4 linked regions of the Saccharomyces cerevisiae S288C genome follow. The protein of the gene in region 2 binds, or shares a complex with, the protein of the main gene of each other region. Each region holds a gene or a part of one and is shown on either strand. Other genes may lie near its edges.

Evidence for each region.
Region 1: MRPL23 (region 2) and MRPL36 share a complex: the UniProt entries of both Saccharomyces cerevisiae proteins name them as parts of the mitochondrial large ribosomal subunit.
Region 3: MRPL23 (region 2) and MRPL13 share a complex: the UniProt entries of both Saccharomyces cerevisiae proteins name them as parts of the mitochondrial large ribosomal subunit.
Region 4: MRPL23 (region 2) and MRPL27 share a complex: the UniProt entries of both Saccharomyces cerevisiae proteins name them as parts of the mitochondrial large ribosomal subunit.

Annotation. Positions count from the first base shown.
Region 1 is NC_001134.8:483,363-486,167, forward strand, and holds MRPL36 (mitochondrial 54S ribosomal protein bL31m MRPL36), read right to left. Parts: upstream 1,142-2,805; coding exon 608-1,141; downstream 1-607. Other genes in the region: GRS1 (glycine--tRNA ligase), read right to left, coding at 1-5; transcription factor TFIIIC subunit TFC1, read right to left, coding at 1,380-2,805. UniProt on the Saccharomyces cerevisiae protein: Component of the mitochondrial ribosome (mitoribosome), a dedicated translation machinery responsible for the synthesis of mitochondrial genome-encoded proteins, including at least some of the essential transmembrane subunits of the mitochondrial respiratory chain.
Region 2 is NC_001147.6:610,008-613,066, reverse strand, and holds MRPL23 (mitochondrial 54S ribosomal protein uL13m MRPL23), read right to left. Parts: upstream 1,069-3,059; coding exon 577-1,068; downstream 1-576. Other genes in the region: DNA-directed RNA polymerase II core subunit RPB2, read left to right, coding at 1-70; SMP3 (glycosylphosphatidylinositol-alpha 1,2 mannosyltransferase), read left to right, coding at 1,679-3,059. UniProt on the Saccharomyces cerevisiae protein: Component of the mitochondrial ribosome (mitoribosome), a dedicated translation machinery responsible for the synthesis of mitochondrial genome-encoded proteins, including at least some of the essential transmembrane subunits of the mitochondrial respiratory chain.
Region 3 is NC_001143.9:449,885-452,912, forward strand, and holds MRPL13 (mitochondrial 54S ribosomal protein mL50 MRPL13), read right to left. Parts: upstream 1,334-3,028; coding exon 539-1,333; downstream 1-538. Other genes in the region: YKR005C (uncharacterized protein), read right to left, coding at 1-67, 137-283; MEH1 (Meh1p), read left to right, coding at 1,550-2,104; RSC4 (Rsc4p), read left to right, coding at 2,317-3,028. UniProt on the Saccharomyces cerevisiae protein: Component of the mitochondrial ribosome (mitoribosome), a dedicated translation machinery responsible for the synthesis of mitochondrial genome-encoded proteins, including at least some of the essential transmembrane subunits of the mitochondrial respiratory chain.
Region 4 is NC_001134.8:766,631-769,180, reverse strand, and holds MRPL27 (mitochondrial 54S ribosomal protein mL41 MRPL27), read right to left. Parts: upstream 942-2,550; coding exon 501-941; downstream 1-500. Other genes in the region: SSH1 (Ssh1p), read left to right, coding at 1-238; glutamine amidotransferase subunit DUG2, read left to right, coding at 1,575-2,550. UniProt on the Saccharomyces cerevisiae protein: Component of the mitochondrial ribosome (mitoribosome), a dedicated translation machinery responsible for the synthesis of mitochondrial genome-encoded proteins, including at least some of the essential transmembrane subunits of the mitochondrial respiratory chain.

The sequences.
Region 1 (2,805 bases), on a different chromosome or scaffold from region 2:
CTCATTCTTTTAATCTTAACCGATTTTTTAACAATCTGAGAGTAAAATCGTCTACTGATATTGAAGAACGACAATTTTTCTTGAAAATCAACACGAATGCAAAAAGGGAAACTAAAATAAAAGAAATCCTCAAAAGTAATTGAACAGATTTCGAGTCCTAATTGCAAGTAAAATTATGTATACAAAGTACGTGATAAGTATCGCAGCAGTGATTCAACACTCGAGAAGAGTAAAAATTTTCAATTTTTTTCCACTGCGCTGAAATATTACGAGGCGTAGAAAATGATCACTACAATGCCGTTGCTGCTTATTGCAGCGTAAGTGAGCTTCATTCACAGACCATTTGCCTCGATAATCCATGAATCATATCTGGTTCATATTATGTTTGTAAATGTGTGTCTTGTTGCACTTAATCTATCGCGATAGCGCCAAACCAAGCGTTCGCAGAATCTTCGTTGTCAATATATACATATGTAGACGTATGTGTATATGTTGCGGTATATACAAGGCTGTTTATGTAGTCTTCAAACAGATGCGATTGAGATCTATGTCCCAAAAGGAATATAAATTGGTTCGAGAATAGAAAAGTAAGGGGAGCAAACACTATTCACTTCTTGTCTCTCTTCTTACTGGCCAACTTACCTGATTTGATCTGTTGTTCACTATCGTCTAACAGAGATAGATAGTCATCCATACCGAACGCTTTTTCAGAAACGTCTTCCTTCTCCTCCTTTTTAATCTGTGTTTTCTTTTTATTTTCTTCAGATAGTTCAACTGTTTCAGAGCTTGAATTTGGGGTCGTTGAATCGACAGAAAACAAAGAGCTATACCTCTTGTTAAATCTGTCCAAGCTACCACCAGAATTAGCATCCACAACGACTAGGTCATCCCTGCTAGGATTCCACAGCGGATTATTTCTCTGGTCTTGAATTAATCTAATTTCACCCTTTGGATATTGGGATCTCCGGATAACTACACTTCCATCACTCAACTCCATTTTGACATTGAATTGGTGATAAATAGCCGGTCGTGACTTCCCCAGTTGAATTTTTTTTGCAGGCCTTCTTGGCAAAGTAATTCTTGTAGAACCAGGATATGACCCTGTGGAAGCAAATCGCTTCGCAAATATAGACTTCAACATTAGGAGTGAACAAAACGTGTGTTCGTTTGCGTTGGTACCCGTTCTTTCTGGAGGCATTCTTAACTTTTAGGAATAATAATGATACCCTTTCATTTTAGTTATTTGATTTTGATGCATTTTGCACGAGATAATCGCTCTTTACGGTTTGGGGACAAAACTCAGAAATATCACATACGTAGTTATGGTTTTATTGCACATTTGGCATATTTTGATATTGAAATAAAAGAAAACCTACTTATTACAGATCGACTTCATCAACAAATCCCTTGAGCTCGCTTTTCATTGTTTCCGCGGTTTTAGGATCTAGTTTAGCTATTTTATTTATGATATCTTGGAAGCTCGCTGTTTTAACATCAAAACTTTCTTGTTCTTCTTCATCTGCATCAACGTCATCCACGTCATCGTCTATACTTGCAGGCACCTTCAAGTTCTGATCAGTGTCCATCTCTTCATTTTCCAAAGCAGCGTCGTCTGGCTCTTCAGTTATGGCGCCATTATCATCAAAATCATCACCAGCAGCGATACCCTTATCCTCCTCTATGGCATTTGAGGACATTTGACTACCTGCATCCATATTTATGTCCCCATCAGCATCTTTATTGGTGTTAACACCCATTCCCTCTTCTGAGTTCTTGTTTTCGGGTACCATGGATTCTTTAACAAATAACATTGTCTTGAAATACTTCAACTTGTATTTATTATACTCATAATTTCCTTGAACCATGCAACCAAGTTCGTATTTTACTATCCTTCTTATCTTGACCAAGTCTAATTCTTTGAACCATCCAGTTAGTTCATTCGCCTTATCTAAATATTCGACGTTGTGAAAAACTTCTGCAATGTTTGGCTCACCAATTAATAAATCAATCTGCAACATCAGGTACCACGGTATTCTTTTTCCATCAAATTTGAACCTGCTGTCAATACCGCCTGGAGTGTCTGATTCGAATACCAGGGGTGGTGGCTTTGGTACATTCTTTTTCACTATGGGAGAAGATAGTAATTTCCTTTCAATCTTAAAATATTCTGTTTGATATTGGGCGTATTCCACTGAACTTCTGGGGTCTATACCAAATTTGATATATGTATTTCTCCAAGGCCCCATTGTGAAACGATAAGATATGAGTGCCAGCGCTATCTTCATAGTATGGTGTATCTTCTTCGGGACAATCCCATCAAGATGTCTTTTAACCCAAATTGGACGTCTAGCGAAGAGCTCTCTCAAAATTTTCAAGCATTCCTCCAGCGATTCATAAAATTTAGAGTCACTTTTAGTGCCTGGATAGACTTTTGTTTTCTTCGCGACCTCAAAATCGTACAGGACTTGTTCATGAGCTTGGGACGGTATAACTGTCTTATCACTAAGATCATGAACAAACAACTGATAGTTTTTGATATATGTTCCCTTCACTTCTGTGACACCGTTTTTTTTTTTTTTCGCAAATGGATTAGCTTTATATTTATAAAGCAGGGGGAAACCAACCATTGATAACTTAGGAGGTGGCGGCAGTTGGAAATCTGTACTCGGAATTTTAACGCTACGGTCTAAGATCAAATTCCCGATGTTTTCCTGAGGTTGAGAGTCATTATCTGGTACAGAATTGACAAAACTTTTGAAATTATTCCATTCCAGAGAGCCAAAGCTACTTTTGAACTCTCTTGCA
Region 2 (3,059 bases):
ATTATTCCAAGAACTTATGGCTATGAACATTACACCACGTTTATATACCGATCGTTCGAGAGATTTTTAAGAAATAATGTTGTAACTCTAAGAAAGTAAAATAATAAAAAACATTTCATTTGTGCTGATCTTGCCAAAAAAAGGGTAAACAAGTAGGCAATAGTAATAAAATAAGAATGAAGCATTTCTTTTAATAAGCAGAGAGAACTTTCAAGCATTCAAAAAACACAAAAATAATGATGAATAAAATGGGACTCACAGTGTTTATTTATAGTCCTTGTTTCGCATTTTACCAAATTAAAATTTAATTTTATCAAGACATATTAATGAACTTTAGCGGAAAACCTTAAATATCCAAGTCATAAATAATGACTTATGTAAAAAGTTATAAGAAAAATATACGGTGTTCATTTTGGAACAATGTTGCTGTTACACACTGTTAAATATATTTAGTATTCATAAAAGAAAGAAGATTTTAATACGCGTTTTGATTAAAACTACATAACAGATAAATATATACATGGATTGAAGACTGCAAAAAGGATATATAAAAAAATGACAAATAATTTCAATAAGCTATTTCAATTGGTTAAAAATTGATTCTTTAAGAGGCTCTGGTATTGATGATTGCTCATGGGCAAAGGCAGTAATATTTTGTTTATAAGGGTTTTCACTTCCATCGAAAACTTTTAAGCGGTCTAACCGTTGCTTTCTCAATTTATTTTTAGGCAACATACCGCTAACTGCTTTTTTCAAAATTTCTCCAAATCCTTTATCGGCAACAACCTTGTTCATTGTCTGTAACTTTAGCTGACCAGGTCTACCTGAATGAGACCAGTAAGTCTTCTGCTCAAATTTCTTACCTGTTACACGGATTTTTTGGCAATTAGTCACTACTACGTAGTCTCCACAGTCTTGTGACGGATGATAGACCGGCTTATGTCTACCAATTAAGGTAATTGCAATTGCTGAAGCCAATCTACCCAATGTCCTCTTATCACGGGCAACGTCGACATGGTGCCAAAGGCGCGCAAAAGCCAAGCCACTGTGTCCAATCTTCTGCGACATGAATAGGCTATTGTTGATGCTGGTATTGCTTTCTTTTTCTATATGATATCAGTGTATTCATAAGGTCTTTCTCTTTTACTTATTTAGAACGTTTTAAAGATCTCTAAACTACAAGGAAGGCTCCATGCGGGTAACAATCAACATTATAACGATAATTAACTAAACCATAACCGTCTAAGTAACCATAGCGTGCGGTGATTCTTCGCTAGATGGAACTCATGTCTTACTAGTAGCGTGTTTGGTACGTGCAATATAGAGCAAAACATTATATAGACATCGTAATAGCTTTTTATGTGCGGACTGTAATGTTTGTAAGAAGTAAAACCAGTCACTAATATAGTGAAAAAAAGTCAACTTATCGATCTATGTATCTCATAGAAGATGTATTGATTTAATATAACTTATAAAGGTGCTTCTACAGTAAGGTGCTGAGAGGACTTACTATGTCGGCAACAAGTTCAAATCTGAAGCTCTGAGGATTTCGCGAGATGCGCACAATCTGAAGTAATATAAAGATGAAAACACAATACAAAAGGCCTGAAAATCTATATGTCCGATAAGATATCATAGTATTCTTACTCGCAAGCACACATCAGGTACTTGGAAGTGTATGATGAGGTATCAATGGTGGCTTTATTTAGTATATGCCATCGGCCTAATGCTATGCCTAGGCCCGTCGTATATTCATCCAGATGAACATTTCCAATGCATCGAGATTTTGGCTATGCAGTTCATGAAGGTCAAAGGTACCATCCCATGGGAATTTAAATCAAAATTTGCTGCTAGGAGTTACGGCCCCCTATTATTGGTTTACGGGCCTTTGTTCACTATTTTAGAATCTTTTCCCGAAATTCAGGACAACCCAGCGTTAATTCTGTATTCGATGAGACTACAAAACTATGTGATGTACCTATTGTGCTATCATTTTTTAATACCTAAATTAATAAGGGATGAGAGAAAGGCCGTACAATTCATCAAAAAAAGTCTACTTTTAACTTCTTACGTAACCTGGACGTACCAAACACACACGTTTTCCAATTCCATAGAAACGCTGGCTTTAATCTCAACTTTAACTGTAATGGAAGATATGGTAAACGAAAAAAATATTCAAAGAAGTAATTTCAAAAATTCGGTTATATTGGGACTTATATTTAGTTTTGGTGTTTTTAATAGAGTTACTTTTCCTGCATTTATTTTCTTACCATGTTTGATATTATTCTGGAAGTTTTACCGGGTCCATTGGAAATCCTTTTCTTTACTTTTACTTTCATTTTCATTTTCCTCGTGTCTATTTGTTCTTATTGATACAAATATTTATAACAACGGAAAGGGATTTGTCATTACGCCCTTGAATAACCTGAAATACAACCTCAATGTCCAAAATTTGCAAGTACATGGATTACATCCAAGATACACCCATCTGCTGGTCAATTTACCTCAAATAGTTGGCCCAGTATTGCTGCTAGCGATTTTTTCCGGTTACAAACTCGATAAATTATCTACTTACGCAATCATATCTGGCCTGCTTTTTCTTTCATTCTTTCAACATCAAGAATTAAGATTCCTTGTACCGCTAGTGCCACTACTCGTGACAAACTTAAACTGGACACCTCTGAGTTCCACGTTAGTAAACAAGAAAATTTTCAAGGGAACTTGGCTTCTTTTTAACATAATCATGGCGTTCATCATGGGAATTTCACATCAAGCAGGAATTATCCAATTTTTGGGAGATTACTTCCACTTTCGTACCGAACAAATGGGCGTTCACATATGGTGGAAAACATACTCACCACCCACCTGGATGTATATGAGCAATAACCTAACCGTTTCTTCTCTTATCAATACACAGGATGGTATTGAGTCGATAGATGAAGTGGCATTCAGTGTAGGTAACCATCATGTAATAGACCTTAAAGGCTGTGATTTACCACTTTTAACAGAAACAATTAGGCGGCTGCGTTTAAACGGGTCCATAACTCCACTAACTTTAG
Region 3 (3,028 bases), on a different chromosome or scaffold from region 2:
CGCATGACCGACAAAATGCATATTGTTCATCAAAATAACGGGACACGCATTCACTTAAATTTCGTTTCTTCACATGGATCTTGTCAGTAATAAAATCTAGAGAATATTAGTACCTCGGTAAATTTGTTGTACATACGCAACTGGAGAGGAAGGGGGAAATCAGTTGTGAATTGTAACCTGGACATAAGTTAGGATCTGCCACAGTTTTGCTTTGAACCGCTGCGAGAACGCTCCCACCACCACCGGCAAAGAGAACCAGCAGAGCGCTTAGACATTCCAACATTATCAGTATATCTCGTGTGTTCCTGCCTCTTGATGATTTTAGCTAGCTGTAATGTGTAACGAATTATTCCCTTACTGCTTCTTGAGTTAGCCGCCAAAGAGGAAATATAGCCACAAAAAGAACTTACAGAAAAGATAAGGTAAAAAAAAAAAGTGATCTATAATGGGAAAGAAAAATCCAAACTTCTTCAAAGAGTATATATATGTACAGGATATTAAAATGTAATGATAGTAGTAATAATAGTATTAACATAAGCTAAGCGGATCTTGCTGTTTCCAAAGCTTTTCTTGTTGCATCATCCTCTAACTTTTGAATTTCTTTCATAATAGTATCATATTTACTTTTTTGCTCTTTAGAAGTAACATCGTTAACAACATATATGTTTGGTGACGCGTAATTATCAGAAAATGGGTGGATAGCATTTGGCTCAGCTTCTTTATAAGCGAGTTTAGGATCGTTGGCAGATGGCAAAATTTTTTCCTTAATATACCTTTTAAACTGCAAGGGTGTGCTTAAAGTGGTCAGTTCATAATCAGGAATTAGATAGCCAGATTTAGATTGCAAAAATTTGGTGAACTGAAATTTAGCTACCAAATCAGAGAATTGGACGTCCTGGTCTACTTTGCCCAATGTTTTTTCCGTTGCCTGCAATATCATATCATCTAACTGATTATCAGACGTAATCTTATCCCTGGATAACCACTGATTGAATGGCGCAGAGGAGACCGCAAGCTTCAACTCCTTCTGTCTCTTACACCGTCTAGACCCTTCGCCAATAAAATTTTCTGGTATTAGCTCCAATCTGTTTTTGTTATTGGAAGAGGATTGAGAGGAAGCCTCGTTAGTGCCTTCTTCAATATCCTTTATCAACTGTTTGGTGTCCTTGACAGGCTCTTGGTGCTCTTCTTGCTTCTTCCTCTTGAACCATGACATAAAGTCCCCGTTTGCAGCGGAACTGTGAATACATCTGGCTTTCTGCTTGTAGCCAGAGAGCCAGACCGACCTTTGCGGCAATGGTCTAATACAATGTAATTTAAGCAGTGACGACATCCTCATACTATGTCCGCCTTTCCGTCTACCCATTATTCACTTCAGGACTGATGATCAGGCATGCAGTTAATTTGACAGAAGTCGTTGTTTCACTATAAATTTGTCAGCTACCCGCCTCACCAGCAGCGATAAAGAACGAAGAATAAAAGAGAGCATTCACAGAGTACGAATCCAGTATAGCGGTAGTGGATACAACGACAGATTTAAGTCGTAAAAATGGGAGCCGTACTCAGCTGTTGTAGAAACCATTCCGGCGAAGAGAATGAAGCTTTGCTGAGGGAACAGCAGGCAGGCTATGGAAGTCAAGGAAACGCAAATGACGAATACGATGCCGAACAAATGCGGTTGAAGGAACACGAACACGAACAGAAACTGCTGGCCAGGGAACAAGAGTTAAGAGACATTGTTGCAAACACCAACGATAAACTAATAGACATATCGATGATAAACAATAGTGGCATTGTAATTCAAGGGACAGACCTGCAAGAAGCTCTTGATAAAAGACAACAGGAAGAAGGTGGAGATTCCCGGGAAGACGAAAGGAGTGCAGGTGATGACAACCTCAGTGGGCACTCAGTGCCTTCAAGCGGATCCGCACAGGCAACTACTCACCAAACTGCACCAAGGACTAATACGTTTACTCTGCTTACATCACCGGATTCAGCGAAAATATCAAAGGAACAGTTAAAGAAGTTGCACTCTAATATACTAAATGAAATTTTCAGCCAGTCCCAGGTAAACAAACCAGGCCCCTTGACGGTTCCCTTTTAATGAACTTTTTGTATAACATCATTGGTATACAAGCTTTATAAATAAATGTTAAATAGTTAATGAAATAAAAAATCACATTTGACGAATTCGGAAGACAAGTAGCCCAAGAAAAAAAACAACAAAAGCATGCTAGAGGATGATGTTTAAAACGACCCTCAGCCTGTTATTACAATAGAGAGCAAACCAAAGAATAATAGATAAAGTACACAGATATGGTAGTTAAGAAGCGTAAGTTGGCAACTGAGGCCGGTGGCAGTGATGAAAGGCCTAAATACTTGCCGGGAAAACATCCTAAAAACCAAGAGAAAACTCCGCATGTGGATTATAACGCCCCATTAAACCCTAAATCTGAACTTTTTCTAGATGACTGGCATATACCTAAATTTAATCGATTTATTAGTTTCACTTTGGATGTTCTTATCGACAAATACAAAGATATTTTCAAAGATTTCATCAAACTACCAAGTAGGAAGTTTCATCCACAGTATTATTACAAGATCCAGCAGCCAATGTCTATTAATGAAATCAAGTCAAGAGATTATGAATACGAAGATGGTCCAAGTAATTTTCTTTTGGATGTTGAGCTACTGACAAAGAATTGTCAAGCTTACAATGAATATGACAGTTTGATTGTAAAAAACTCCATGCAAGTAGTAATGTTGATTGAATTTGAAGTATTGAAGGCAAAAAATTTGAAAAGAAATTACTTAATTAACAGCGAGGTCAAAGCCAAATTACTGCACTATCTTAATAAGCTAGTTGACGCCACGGAAAAGAAAATCAACCAGGCTCTGCTGGGTGCGTCATCTCCTAAAAACTTAGACGACAAAGTCAAGCTAAGTGAACCGTTTATGGAATTAGTCGATAAAGATGAACTTCCTGAATATTATGAAATAGTGCATAGCCCCATGGCTTTATCGATCG
Region 4 (2,550 bases), on a different chromosome or scaffold from region 2:
ACAGAATGTCGCTAAAGAATTGAACAAAGTCATTCCAATCGCAGCTGTTACGGGTGCATCCGTCTTAAGTTTGATCACCGTTATCGGTGAATCTTTGGGTTTGAAAGGTAAAGCTGCTGGTATAGTTGTTGGCATTGCTGGTGGGTTTTCTTTGCTAGAAGTCATTACCATTGAATACCAACAAAGTGGCGGTCAAAGTGCTTTGAATCAAGTCTTGGGTGTTCCAGGTGCTATGTAAACAAAGAAAAGAAAAAAAAGAAGGAAAACAAAAAAGAAGATCAAATTCTCTCTGCTACGCGCATTTATATACGTACGAACTTTTTGCTCTTCTTTTAGATTTATATGTATCTATATTTAACTCAAAGAAAGATGACATATGGTGCAATGTCTAAGCCATGTTTTATTTGATTTTGTTTTACAATCTTAAGTTTTATTTTTTATCTACCTATAAAGTCGAAAACTAGTATTTACACGCATATTGAAGAAAGATTATAAATAACTTATCCACGCTCCTTATAACATGAAGTGTCGGTGGCCCCTTCGCTTTGTACCCTCCCGTTTACTATGTATTCTTTTATCTTTAATAACTGTAAACGAGGATCTAATGGGCCGCCGCTAAATCCTTTAAATTCGTGTTTTAGAGGTGGTACATTTGCGTTAACGTAGGGCTTTAATTCGAAATTAACCATATCTGGGGTAACATAGGTTCTGACTTTCTTCCAGTTTATCACATAACCACCGAATTTTGTATGTCTACCAATCCCTGAAGCTCTTGTCCCTTTGTACATCGTCTTGTTACCTTGCTTCGTGGTCAACGGCACTCTTTTATTCCCAACTTTTGATAACCCATAAAATAATTCACCATCTCTGTATTTCTTCCAAGGCCTGGTAAGAGCATTAATAGAGGTCTTACTAAATTGAGAAATGGGTGAGCCTTTCATTTTAGTTATTTGCTGTCCTCACTTTCAAGGTAATCTTTGATTCCCGTAGTTTTTTTAAGCAAAAATTGGTGTATACTACTTCAATAGTCCTATCTTTTGTATTAATTCTAGCTTTTCAAAAATAATCCGTGAAACGTGATAATAATAATTATGTATCTCAAGAAAATCATCATCAAATAGCCGCCAACAAGCTGCAGTGAAGCAACATTGAAAGTCCTTCCCGCAAGTATTAGGCTCTGTTTAAAGATTACTAACCTTGTTAATAATTATAATAACACTTCACAGCTATTTTCGTATTCCTTTTCATAGTTAAGGGCATTTCACTTTGATCTAGAATGATCCTCTGATTTCGATGTTTTGTTATATGGTAAGGAAGCTCTTGAGCATTGCTCACAATTACTGCTGCAATTAGAAGTTCAATGAAGATGGTATCTTTTTTTTTTTTTCTCATGAGAGGGAATACCGACTTTACCATAAACTTGAGTGATAATCGCATTGTGCGCCGCGAAAAGCTGTGGCACCAATATCAATAAAATGTGTGTAACTGAATTATTTAAGTGAAAAACTATTTCGAGAAACCGAACAACCCTGTAAGGAAAAGTGAAAAACGAGGGCAGAAGTAATTGTGAAATCATGTACGATAGCAGGGGTGTCGCATTGCACTCTGAACTAATTCATAGGTGGAATCACGCTTTTTCCATCTTATCCATTGTTGCATTTCCAAAAAAAAGATTGTTGTTTGCTGGTAGCCAAGACTCCAAGATATTGGTTTTTGATCTTCCCACATATAATCTAATACATACGATTAGACTAGGCGAATCACAAGAGGAAACGCATACCAGATCTTCGGTTTTGTGCTTGACAGGATCAGAAGATGAAAACTTTTTATTTTCAGGCGGCGCAGATTCTTTGGTGAGAATTTGGTCCATTGGCGAAAAGACCATTAGAGATGACTTTCTACCTGTTACTGAAATAGCCACTGTTTACTCAGTGACCGATATTGGTGATATTTTCTCATTGGCATATTTGGATTCGTTGGAAACTATTGTCTTTGGCTGTCAAAATGCAAGCTTACTATATGTTGAGAACTTGATTCAGAAGATTGAAAAAAAATCCTCTGATGGAGTAGAAAATATCAATAAATTACCGCATAGAAGATATGATAAGTTCTTTGATTCGTTAGGTCCGACTGGATATAGTTCAAATTCATTATCTCAAACTTCATTGACCTCTCTACAAGAAAACTGTGGCGCTGCCATCATAGAGGTTCCCTCCGAAAACATTATTAAATATGCACATTATGGGTTTATTTATTCTATTAATAAATTGTGTCCCAGGTTTAATCAGTTATTGGAAAAAAGCTCACGAACTTCTGGTGCAGAGCACATAATTTCATCCGCTGGTGATGGAATAAGCAAGCTTTGGGAGTTCTCTAAAGATAAAGGGCAAAACACTGTTAAAATCTCCTTGATAAACGATAAAATCGACAATGAAGATAGCGTCATATCCCAAACTATTGAGTTCCCATTTTTATATTGCGGGTTGACTGACGGGATTATAAAAATCTGGGACTTAAATACTCAGCAAATAATCTCAACTCTGAAAACAA